3 linked regions of the Callithrix jacchus genome follow. The protein of the gene in region 1 purifies or fractionates together with the protein of each later gene. This does not show direct contact. Links are inferred from orthologs where the notes say so. Each region holds a gene or a part of one and is shown on either strand. Other genes may lie near its edges. The genes, in order: BAG3, PDLIM7 and HSF1.

Evidence for each region.
Region 2: the proteins of BAG3 (region 1) and PDLIM7 purify together in Homo sapiens (affinity purification with mass spectrometry; 3 studies listed by BioGRID and IntAct, counting the BioPlex papers as one, with this or other methods). This does not show direct contact. The link is inferred for Callithrix jacchus from reciprocal best matches to the Homo sapiens genes BAG3 and PDLIM7.
Region 3: the proteins of BAG3 (region 1) and HSF1 purify together in Homo sapiens (affinity purification with mass spectrometry; 3 studies listed by BioGRID and IntAct, with this or other methods). This does not show direct contact. The link is inferred for Callithrix jacchus from reciprocal best matches to the Homo sapiens genes BAG3 and HSF1.

What each region holds. Positions count from the first base shown.
Region 1 is NC_133513.1:113,172,083-113,176,319, reverse strand, and holds the start of BAG3 (BAG family molecular chaperone regulator 3), read left to right. Parts: upstream 1-1,349; 5' UTR 1,350-1,663; coding exon 1,664-1,843; intron 1,844-1,915; exon of another isoform or gene 1,916-4,237. UniProt on the Homo sapiens protein: Co-chaperone and adapter protein that connects different classes of molecular chaperones including heat shock proteins 70 (HSP70s), e.g. HSPA1A/HSP70 or HSPA8/HSC70, and small heat shock proteins (sHSPs), e.g. HSPB8.
Region 2 is NC_133503.1:68,644,012-68,647,614, forward strand, and holds part of PDLIM7 (PDZ and LIM domain protein 7), read left to right. Parts: intron 1-1,321; coding exon 1,322-1,473; intron 1,474-1,560; coding exon 1,561-1,591; intron 1,592-2,040; coding exon 2,041-2,159; intron 2,160-2,557; coding exon 2,558-2,578; intron 2,579-2,824; coding exon 2,825-2,961; intron 2,962-3,037; coding exon of another isoform or gene 3,038-3,063; coding exon 3,064-3,100; intron 3,101-3,367; coding exon of another isoform or gene 3,368-3,464; exon of another isoform or gene 3,465-3,603. UniProt on the Homo sapiens protein: May function as a scaffold on which the coordinated assembly of proteins can occur. May play a role as an adapter that, via its PDZ domain, localizes LIM-binding proteins to actin filaments of both skeletal muscle and nonmuscle tissues.
Region 3 is NC_133517.1:53,316,869-53,320,471, reverse strand, and holds part of HSF1 (heat shock factor protein 1), read left to right. Parts: intron 1-425; coding exon 426-501; intron 502-572; coding exon 573-634; intron 635-760; coding exon 761-857; intron 858-954; coding exon 955-1,091; intron 1,092-1,219; coding exon 1,220-1,501; intron 1,502-1,778; coding exon 1,779-1,862; intron 1,863-2,642; coding exon 2,643-2,892; intron 2,893-2,965; coding exon 2,966-3,035; intron 3,036-3,105; coding exon 3,106-3,311; 3' UTR 3,312-3,603. UniProt on the Homo sapiens protein: Functions as a stress-inducible and DNA-binding transcription factor that plays a central role in the transcriptional activation of the heat shock response (HSR), leading to the expression of a large class of molecular chaperones, heat shock proteins (HSPs), that protect cells from cellular insult damage.

The sequences.
Region 1 (4,237 bases):
AACCAATCATTTCTCTCTCTCTCTCTCCCTCTCTCTCTCTCTTTTTAAGAGACAGGGTCCTGCTCTGTCGCTTAGGCTGGCATCAGGAGCACAATCATAGCCCATGGCAGCTTCAAACTCCTGGTCTCAAGTGAGCCTCCCACCTCAGCCTCCTGAGTAGCTGAGACTACAGGCATAAGCCACTGCACCTGCCTTATTTTTTTATTTTGTAGAGGTGTAGGTCTCACTGTGTTGTCCAGGCTGGTCAAACCCCTGGACTCAAGAGGTCCTCCAGTCTTGGCCTTCCAAAGTACTGGGATTACAGGCATGAGCCACAGTGCCAAGCCCTCATCCGTTATTTTTCTGTGATTCTCTCTGTCCCCTCCTTACGAGGAAAGTAATTTTAAAACAACCAATTCAGCCTTGGTTCTTTGTTTCTGTTTTCTTCAGCCCTTCTCTGTCTATAAAACCAACCTCTTCTGCTCGGCTTTTAGGAACACTTATTCTAATTTAATGGAGGTGTTGCCCAATTCTAGAATCACAAAATCAGTTAAGATCTTTAAACTAACAATAAAAGTTAACAAATAAAAACAAACAAAAAGATCTTTAAATTAAAAATGTTGTCATTTTCTCCTTTGGCAGGTTACAAGTGCAACCTCCATTCAATGAACCAAGCGAAAAAATGTCACGGTTAGGTTAGGTCTTTACTTCCCAAATGAGGGTCAAGATGTAGGATAGCAAGAACCAACCTCTACTATAAAAAAGATCCAAACCCAAGAGAATGTGATTTTTCTGTAAAGCTGTTTACTACAACGAAACTTTCTTTTTAGTCTGGGAGACTAAAAACCATCAGCTGACACAATCTTTTTTTCCTTGAAGTTTCCAAAGAAAGGCAAGTGAGTTTGCACTGACTTCCATTTTCTCCCTGCCTTCCTGCTAGTGTCAGATGAGCGTCCCCGCGCTCCTCCCAGGCAGCCCTCAGTGTCCCGGGCTGTCATATATGGGGGAGGGGATGGGGTGGGTGAGATGGCTTTGTTTGTACAGAAAGGAGGGGCGGCAGGCACGGGGAGGACCGGCTCCGGCCCAGGGAAAACTCACTAGGCGCTAAGGAGAGGGAGGGAGGGAGTGTGAAAGCCGAAACCCGCCCAGGGCGCACGGAGGACGACCCCAACTCAGTGCGTCCGGCGTCCCATCCGCAGTCAGGCCCCGAAGGCGCGCCCGCGGCCACTCCGGCCGGGGCACGCGCACTAGGAGGCTCGGGGAGGGGCGGAGGGAGGCGGGGGAGGGCGGGGAGGTCGGGGACGAACGAGAGGGCCGAGGCCCCGCCCCCGCCCGCCGCGATTATAGCCGATGACTCAGGGCGGAGCTCCGCATCCAACCCCGGGCCGCGGCCAACTTCTCTGGACGGGACTAGAAGTTTCTAGCCGGCCAGTTGCTACCTCCCTTTATCTCCTCCTTCTCCTCTAGCAGCGAGGAGGCTATTTCCAGACACTTCCACCCCTCTCAGGCCACGTCACCCCCGCCTTTAATTCATAAAGGTGCCCGGCGCCGGCTTCCCGGACACGTCGGCGGCGGAGAGGGGCCCGCGGCGGCGGCCAGGCCAGAGACTCGGCGCCCGGAGCCCGCGTTCCGCACCCGCGCCCCGGCGGCCCCCGCTCCGGGCCGACCCCAACCCCTACCCAGCATGAGCGCCGCCACCCACTCGCCCATGATGCAGGTGGCGTCCGGCAACGGTGACCGCGACCCCCTGCCCCCCGGCTGGGAGATCAAGATCGACCCGCAGACCGGCTGGCCCTTCTTCGTGGACCACAACAGCCGCACCACGACGTGGAACGACCCGCGCGTGCCCCCCGAGGGCCCCAAGGTGAGCCGGGCCCGCGGCCCGCCCTGGTCGATGGCGCCACCTCGACGGCGGGCGGCGGGAAGGGGGCCGGGCGGGTGGGACGCGAGAAGCGGGGCCCGGGGGTCGGCGAAGGCCCCTCTCAGGCGGACACCGGCTCCGCGCCCAGCCACACATTCCCGCGGCTCCCGGACGAGTCCCTGCTCCCGACCCGCCCTTGACAGGCGTCCGGGCCAAAGGAGGCCCCGGGATCCGGTGGCCCGGGAACCGTCCCCGCAGTGGCCCCTGTGCCGTCCGCGGCTCGACTCCAGGACGGAGGGCCGGGTGTCCGGCGCTGGCCTAGCCCTCCCGAGCTTGGAGGAGGGCAGCCGGCTTGGTCGGCTCCGGAGGCCGCAGTCCCTGCTGCCCGCTTGGCCTCCGGGCCCGGGACCCGCGGCGCACCCCGCTGTCCACGAACGCGAGGGAGACACAAGCTTGGATGGTGGTTTTGGGGGATTTTTACCTCTCAAGTTCCCTAACTTGGTTGAGGGATGTCTTCACTACTGTCCCATCTGAGGCACCCAATGACTCAGGAAGCTGGTGTCAAAACATTTATGCCTGTGTGTGTGTGTGTGTGTCAAATTAAAATTGTATTATTGTTTGAAAGTGCTTTGGATCTGTATGTATCCTATTATCACTTGTAAAATTAAAAACGGGGTGCATTTCTCCCCAGCAGTTTCTAAACTAGACGGGAGACTGTCTTACAGTTGGCCATTGCATTACCACATTGCCTCACCCTGGAGAGAAAGAGAACGATAATGTGTATGTTTATAATGGCATTCGCTTCCTGCCTTGTTATGGTATTAAAATACTTAGGATTTGTTACCAGTACACAAATAACTGAGTAATGATACTCTTGTGAATATAGCAGAAGTATGTCTCATTTACATATATGCAAGGATATATACTTTTTAATCCCCAAGAGCATGAAATTTGAAAACATAAGTTTGGAATGAGTCTGTTAATTTTCAAAAATCATACTTATACTATTCTTTCCATTTTCTGTAAATTTGAGCTTTCAAAATAAAAAGGTTTTAAAAATAATTATGTTATACTTAAAACGTAATTGTGACTGCTGTCTGGGCAAGATAGAAGCAGCAAAAGAGGTGATAAATTATTTTGAAGATTTAAAAACTCAGCAAATTAAAAATGCTTTGTATCTCATGATTTTAGAAGAAAGACCCATATTATTTCCCTTCATTTTTATACACGTTCTGTTTTAACAATATTGACAAAACTCTGGTTCCCAACAGTGAGATGGTGTACAGTCAGCAGTTTACATTTACGAGAGATTAATTGTATATTTATTCTTGAAAATTAATATAAGAGGCTGTAATTAGCTGGGATGGGCACAGTTAAATATACCTTTTTGGGTGTCCAACCCATTTTTGGGTGAAACTGACGCTCATTTCAAACCCCCTTTCTTAGCAGTCTGCGTGGATGTACATGATCTTTAGTGTGGTTTACAACTATTATTTTGAGGGCTTCTTCCTGTAGACATAGGGACAGTAGCATTTGCTGGCAGCCTTTGTTATGAGTGAAGATTAAGTTTGAATGTAAACATTGTCAGTACTTTGTTCTCAGCATGAAACTTACCCAGCAAGTTGAGATCTTCCTGTACCCACCTGGTGCCTGGGTTAGGCTGTGGTTTCCTAAACCTTAAAAGGAAAAAAGCAGGTTTAGTTACCATTATTCTTCTCAACAAATAGAAAGTAAGAACTACTAAATCAGAAGTCTGATGCTGGAAAGGTTTATTTGAAAATTTCACAGTGAAAATGTTAAAGTTGAAAGGTCCTTGAAGATCTTTTAGGTAGGCTTCTTTATTTTCTGAAAAAACCTGGAGAGTTCAGGTGTGATTTTTGAAGGTCACCCAGCTAGTACCGATAGCAGGGAGAGTACTGATGTCAGGAGAGTCCTCATAAGAGGCAGTGTGTCTGTTCAGAAGGTGGAAGTGAATGTTTTGTGAAACCGTGAAGCATGCAGGCTAAAATACTTGATTACCTTTGTGCCCTCCTGGCCACCAAGTTATTGGGTCACTGACCTCTGTGCTGTGATTGCTTGGATTTTGATGATGGGACATGATCAACTCAAGAAGAGAATTCTCGGGCTGGAGGCAGTGGCTCACGCCTATAATCCCAGCACTTTGGGAGGCCGAGGCGGGTGGATCACGAGGTCAAGAGATCAAGACCATCCTGGTCAACATGGTGAAACCCCGTCTCTACTAAAAATACAAAAATTAGCTGGGCATGGTGGCGTGTGCCTGTAGTCCCAGCTACTCGGGAGGCTGAGGCAGGAGAATTGCTTGAGCCCAGAAGGGGGAGGTTGCGGTGAGCCGGGATTGCGCCATTGCACTCCAGCCTGAGTAACCACAGCGAAACT
Region 2 (3,603 bases), on another chromosome or scaffold:
TCCCCACACTCTGACCACTCCCTTCACCCTCTGTGCTTCCTGCCCTTTTCTGGAAAGGGAAGCCGTCCCCATCCCCCACCCTCTCTCCGGGAGCCAGCTGCTCCTGTGCACCCCAAGACCCCCACCTCGGACTCAGCCCACACCTCCCAGGAGCCAGCCCTTGTGGGCAGGTAGTGGCTGGGCCAGGTTTCCCTTGTACTGACTCACCATGGCCTTGAGTAAGTCATTTCCCCTCTGGGGTGTCACTTCCCCACGCACAGTTTAAAGGGTTGATTTAGTTGGCTTGAATTAAATGTGAGGGGGAAGCTCAGGGCGTCTCGAGGTGGGCTGACCCCTCAGTTGGGCCCCCATGCTCAGCAAAGGTGGCCTGCAGTGGTGGAGTCTTAGGGTCAGGGTCACTTCCTGGCCCTGCCTCTTGCTGGGTGACTTGAGTCAAGTTGTTTAACCTCTCTGTGTACACTTTCAAGTGCAAAATGGGTAAAATCTCAGATTACTCCACAGGGTTGTTGGAAGATGCAGCAATGTGTAGCATACTTGGTGCTCAGTAAACTGAAGGAGGTGTTCTTATTTAGCGAGTGAGGAAGGGGCCACCGAGCTCTCTTAGCTTCCCTGAAGTCATTCCTGATGGTCTTAGTTCATGCTGGTGGCAGCCATTTCTCGCAGCCTATTGTCACCCCTTGTTGCCACTGGAACCAGGGACTCCCAGCTCAGAGCCTGAAGGATTGGAGTCAGGGGAGTTGGCAGTTGAAGGCTTGGGAGTGACACTCATGTATGGCCTATGAAGCCCCAGCTGTCACCTTAGGCCCCATTCAGGCAGTGTTCATGGGGAACCTGGAGATAACAGGGCCTGTTCCTGGCTCTCAAAGTGTCCCAGCGGACCCCTGCAGATGGCCCCCAGATAGGGTGCTGGAGGGTAAGAGATCCATAAGAGCCCCCAGCGGTAGCAGGGAAGAAGCTGCCCCTTGCATGGGCCAGAGGGCATATCTGGTAGTATAGCAGCCCTGGGCAGGCAGCCAGCAGGTGCTTCAAAAGGCAGGTGGTCCTCCTGAAACACATGGGCCTGAGCATGGCTGTTTGTGGGTATCATAGAATTTCTGGACTGTGGGGTAGGGTCGTGGTGCAGAGTAAATAAATCAGCAGTGTGATGGGAAATTGTGAAGCTCAGGTGAGCGCCACCACCTCCTGGTTGCTTTAGTGTCCAGCAGCTGCCTAGAACTATGTTGAATGAAGAGCTCTCTGGCCTCTAGAAGTGGGGCAGCATTACCACCTGGCTTGGGTCTGCAGAGTCTAAGGACCTCGGTCACTGTGCTTTTCTCTGTAGCTCACTCCTGGAGGCAAAGCAGCACAGGCTGGAGTGGCCGTTGGTGACTGGGTGCTGAGCATCGATGGCGAGAATGCAGGGAGCCTCACACACATCGAAGCTCAGAACAAGATCCGGGCCTGTGGGGAACGCCTCAGCCTGGGCCTCAGCAGGTATGCGCGTTGGTGTGGATGGGTGCACAGTCGCTAGCAATGGGGATTCTCATGGGCCCACGCTGTCACACTTTCCTTTTCCTTCAGGGCCCAACCGGTTCAGAGCAAACCCCAGAAGGTACGAGGCGGGCCGGGACATCTGGGCAGCGGGCGGGTTGGGCTTGGACAGCCAGACCTGCTCGCCCTCCTGGCACAGCCTCGGTACCCCAATCCCTGGTCAGAAGTAGAGGGCAGAAACTGGAGCTAGGGTGGGTCTAGGGCCCTGGAGTTGAGCCAGGGGCTGCCGCACGGTCTGGGCACCACGCATGTTTGCCTGTCTGTCCGCCTGCCTGCCTCCCGCCGCCGGTGCTGCGTGTTCGCCCGCACTTGGTCAGCCCTCGGTCCTGCGTGGACTGAAATCACCACTCCTGAATGGGCCCCTTGAAACCTGAGTTGTCGTCTCCCCCTAGTCTCCTGCAAGATGTGGGGGGTGTGGGGGGCTGGAGCTGCCACTGTCTTCTGGTGCGGGCGCCCCACTCCCACCCAAGTCCCTGCCCGCCTGCCCTGCCCGGCTCTGTCTCTGCTCAGGCCCCGGCCCCTGCCGCGGACCCCCCGCGGTACACCTTTGCACCCAGCGTCTCCCTCAACAAGACGGCCCGGCCCTTCGGGGCGCCCCCGCCCGCTGACAACGCCCCGCAGCAGAATGGGTATGTCAGCCCCGGCCCGCCCGTGCCCGTGCCCATGCCATCAGGCCCCTTGTGGCCCCACGCCCTTTGCCCGCTGCCCGCTGCTGCTCAGTCTGTGCTGTGCCCCAGCCCGGCGGAACCGTGCGGCAGCAACCCCTGGCGGCCGGGGTGGGACTGCAGGCACAGGGCCCCTCCCAAGGCTGTGGCACCCTGCAGGGCACTGCCCTGGGGAGGGGTCTCTGAATGAGGTCGCACCCCCTGCTGGCGGCTTGGGGTTGGGTCATGGTGTTGGGCCAGTTGAGCCCTAGACACTCAGTGCTGCCTGGTCCCCGGCTGCCCTGACCCCTCCCCATCTTTCTTCCTCTCCTGTGTCTGTCCCTTTGTCCCTTTATCTCTCTATCTGTCTATTTCCTTCACAGGTGCAGACCCCTGACAAGTCAGTGAGCCCCCTCTGCCTGTCCCTCTCTTCTTCCTTTTGGCACTCTGGGCGGTGGCCCCTCCCCACCCTGGCTGCCCTCCTCTCCACTTTGCCCTCCTGTCCTCTCATCCACCCGCCTAGCAGGGCTTCTGGCCTTGCCCTTACCCACTCCCTCCCATCACTGTAACCCACATGCACCAAATCCTGGGAGGGGCTGCCCCCACTGCCCACCCCCAGCATGGGGTTCTGAGCCGCACCCTCCCCACAGACAGCCGCTCCGACCGCTGGTCCCAGATGCCAGCAAGCAGCGGCTGATGGAGAACACCGAGGACTGGCGGCCACGGCCTGGGACAGGCCAGTCGCGTTCCTTCCGCATCCTTGCCCACCTCACAGGCACCGAGTTCAGTAAGTGCCAGCCTAGGCAGGGTGGACTCTCCTGGCCTCCAGCCCAGGCGTGAACCCTGACCTTCTGTCTCTCTTGGTCAATGCCTGTCTCTGCCCTCTCAGTGCAAGACCCGGATGAGGAGCACCTGAAGAAATCAAGGTACAAGAATGGGCACTAGCCCTTCTCCCACCTCCTGCCTCTTCCATTCCAGCTACTGCCCTATGTCTACTCCTGAGGCTCCCAGCTGGGGCTTTCCATTCTCCTTCCTTCCTTCGCTCCCTCCTCCTCCTCTTCCTTCTTTCCTTCCTTCTTTCCTCCCTTCCCTTGCTCCTTCCTTCCCTCATTCCTTCCTACCCTCCTCCCTCCCTATGTCCCTTCCATCTCTCCTTCCTTCCACTTCTTCCTCCTTCTCTCTCTGCCCCTCAGGGAAAAGTATGTCCTGGAGCTGCAGAGCCCACGCTACACCCGCCTCCGAGACTGGCACCACCAGCGCTCTGCCCACGCGCTCAACGTGCAGTCGTAGCCCGGCCCTCTCCAGCCGGCTGCCCTCTCTGCCTCCCTCTTTCTGTTCCTCCTGCCCAGGGCACCCCCTTAGTGTCTCCAGCTTCTGCCTACCTCACCCCCGCTTCCTGCCCCTGGCCTGAGTCTCCTGCTGGCCTGGC
Region 3 (3,603 bases), on another chromosome or scaffold:
CCTCTGAGCCACTCCTAGGCCTGTCAAGGGTCCTGAGCATCTGCAGGACACAGGACAGCTGGTGGTGCAGCCTGATGAACCATCCTCCCCAAACTTTGCTTCTCAGGCCTCGTAGGGGAGGCTCAAGGGTCTGTCTGCCCTTAAGGCATCCCTCCAGATGTTGTCCAGGATGGATGCCAGGATCCAGGTGCACCTGGCTCGCTCTGTCCTCAACCACCCTACCTGACACCAGCTGTCCCCAGCAGGGAGGGGCAGTGGGACCAGCAAGCTCTGGCCTGTCCCCTAGCCCTTCCACACAGCAGTTCTCATACTGGACTGGGCCAGGCCAGACATGGTCACACTCACCCCTGCTCCCACCTGGGAGACGGGAGGGTCTGTGGGGCTCCTGGAATTGGGCCCCACTGACCCAGCCTGGTCTGTTGCAGTGAGAATGAGGCTCTGTGGCGGGAGGTGGCCAGCCTTCGGCAGAAGCATGCCCAGCAGCAGAAAGTCGTCAACAAGGTGGGGGCAGGGCCAGAGGGCCAGCGGGGGCCCCACAAGTGCCGAGGTGACTGTGTCCTCTCTCCCCACAGCTCATTCAGTTCCTCATCTCGCTGGTGCAGTCAAACCGGATCCTGGGGGTGAAGAGAAAGATGTGAGGTTCTGGGGACACCTGCATCCGCCACACGGGGCACGGGGCCCAGGGCCATCCCCCTCCTCTGTCAGCTCTGCCCTGGGTGCCCAAGACAGGGAGGCAGCTGACCTGCACCCTTTCCCGCAGCCCCCTGATGCTGAACGACAGCGGCTCGGCACATTCCATGCCCAAGTATGGCCGGCAGTTCTCCTTGGAGCACGTCCATGGCACGGGCCCCTACTCGGTGAGCCCCGGGGACAGGGCTCCCATCCAGGCATGTGGACAGTGATGGGGGGGTCACCCCAGCCCGAGTTTCATGGGCCTCCTGCCTTTGATTGCAGGCCCCATCCCCGGCCTACAGCAGCTCCAGCCTCTACGCCCCCGATGCTGTGGCCAGCTCTGGACCCATCATCTCCGACATCACTGAGCTGGCTCCTGCCAGCCCCGTGGCCTCCCCCGGCGGGAGCATAGATGAGAGGTGGGGGCCACATCACCCCAGCCCTCCTGTTCCCCCAACGAGGCGAGCCCTTTTGGGCCCAGGGCAGAGTTGGGGGTGAGGTAGGGCCGCCCAAGACGCCAGCTAATGTGGCCCCGCCTGGTGTCCAGGCCCCTGTCCAGCAGCCCCCTGGTGCGTGTCAAGGAGGAGCCCCCCAGCCCGCCTCAGAGCCCCCGGGTAGAGGAGGCGAGTCCCGGGAACCCATCTTCTGTGGACACCCTCTTGTCCCCGACCGCCCTCATTGACTCCATCCTGCGGGAGAGTGAGCCTGCCCCCGCCTCCGCCACAGCCCTCACGGACGCCAGGGGCCACACGGACACCGAGGGCCGACCCCCCTCACCCCCGCCCACCTCCACACCTGAAAAGTGCCTCAGTGTAGCCTGCCTGGACAAGTGAGTGCTGCCCCAACCTCAGCTCGGGGTGGGAGGGAGACAGGTGCCAACCAGATCACCCCATAGCAGCCGAGGGTGTGGCAGGACAGGCTGCTGGGCCCTGCTCTTGGCCACCCCTCCTGCTGCCGCCACCCTCTCGCCACAGGCCACGGGTCCCAGCATCAGTCGTGCCACCCAGACCAACAGCAGGAGACGGTGAGCGGGGCCCAGCCTCGACACCCCCAGGCCCTGCCCAGCCCCTGCCTGCAATGGGGACTCTTGTTTTTGTATCTTGCAGTTTGGCTCGAACTCCACAGATGTCTGGGGTCACCCGCCTCTTCCCCTGCCCCTCTTCCTCTCCACGTGGCCGAGTCCAGCCAGGGTTAGCGCTGACCCCACTTGGGAGGGAGGAGGGCCCTGCCACAGCTTGGGCCCTCCCACACAGCTGTGGACCACACCCAGCCTGGCCGGGCATGAGCACTGGGCCTGGGCAATAGCATTCTGGGCCCCTCCGTGATGGGGGCTCAATGTCATCCTGCCTCCCCTGGCCACAGGCCTGTGGTCATTGCCTGTGACAAGGACAGGCTTCCCTGGTCTGGCACGGCCTCTGGTGCTGGCAGGATCCAGGCTGCGGCACTGACTGCACTTACTGTCAGGAGTGGTCTCTGGGGCACCTCCAGGATCCAGCCTGGCTGCCTGTCCAATGGCTCAGGTGTGCCCCATTGCCTTGGGCTCTCTTGGTCACCGCCACCAGACCGTGGGTCTTATCCCCACAGCAGCATTGGGGCACCGGCTGAGCCACCCACCGGCTGAGCCACCCACACGCTGAGCACAGCCCCAGCCGTTTTCCAAACACATCGGGAAACCTCAGCAACCCTGAAAACTGAAACCCCGACCCTCATGCTGGAGCTGAATACACCTCTTCTCTCCTGCTGCCACCAAGGCCTCCAGGCCCTCATGGTGACGGGATGCCCCCCATGGGTCCAGCCACACCCATGCAGGGCACAGAGCCCCCCACCGCCTTCCAGGCCATCTTCCAGCCTGTGCAGGCCTACACGGGGGCATTGCCTGGGGGACACAGCCAAGGGGAGCCCTTCTGCAGGAGGGCATCAGGGTGCAGGGCCTGGGGCACTTTTTCATCCACCCTGTCATTCCGGGCCAGGAATGAGCTCAGTGATCACTTGGATGCTATGGACTCCAACCTGGACAACCTGCAGACCATGCTGAGCAGCCACGGCTTCAGTGTGGACACCAGCGCCCTGCTGGACGTGAGTCAAGCCCCACCCCGCCCCACCCCGCCCCATCCCGCCCCAGGTGCAGTGCTGACTTCCCTCGATCCTCTGCAGCTGTTCAGCCCCTCGGTGACTGTGCCCGACATGAGCCTGCCTGACCTTGACAGCAGCCTGGCCAGTGTGCGTAGGTGGGTGGGGGGGTGGGGGGGAATGAGACAGGCAGGAATACTCACTGTACCCCTCCACACCACAGATCCAGGAGCTCCTATCTCCCCAGGAGCCCCCCAGGCCTCCTGAGGCAGAGAACAGCAGCCCGGATTCAGGTGAGCCAGATCCCCTCAGCCTCCCTCTCTGCCCCGACCCCCACAGCCTTGACACCCCCCATCCCCACAGGGAAGCAGCTGGTGCACTACACGGCACAGCCCCTGTTCCTGCTGGACCCTGGCTCCGTGGACACCGGGAGCAGCGACCTGCCCGTGCTGTTTGAGCTGGGAGAGGGCTCCTACTTCTCCGAAGGGGACAGCTTTGCAGAGGACCCCACCATCTCCCTGCTGACGGGCTCAGAGCCTCCCAAAGCCAAGGACCCCACTATCTCCTAGATGACTGGGAGGAGCCGGGCCAGCCATGGCCTGCCCACCCCCACCCCCAGTGCAGGGCTGGTCCTGGGGAGGCAGGGCAGGCTCATGGTCCTGGGCACTGGTGGGTTGGCCACCACAGCCCCAGCAGGATACACAGAGGGGCTTGGGCCTGGGCAGCACCTCTGGTCAGGAGAGTCGCCCACCTGCCAGTCTGCCTTCACCCAACCTCGTGTCCTGTGGTTTGGTTAGGGCTTCACAGCCACACCTGGACTGACCCTGCAGGTTGTTCATAGTCAGAATTGTATTTTGGATT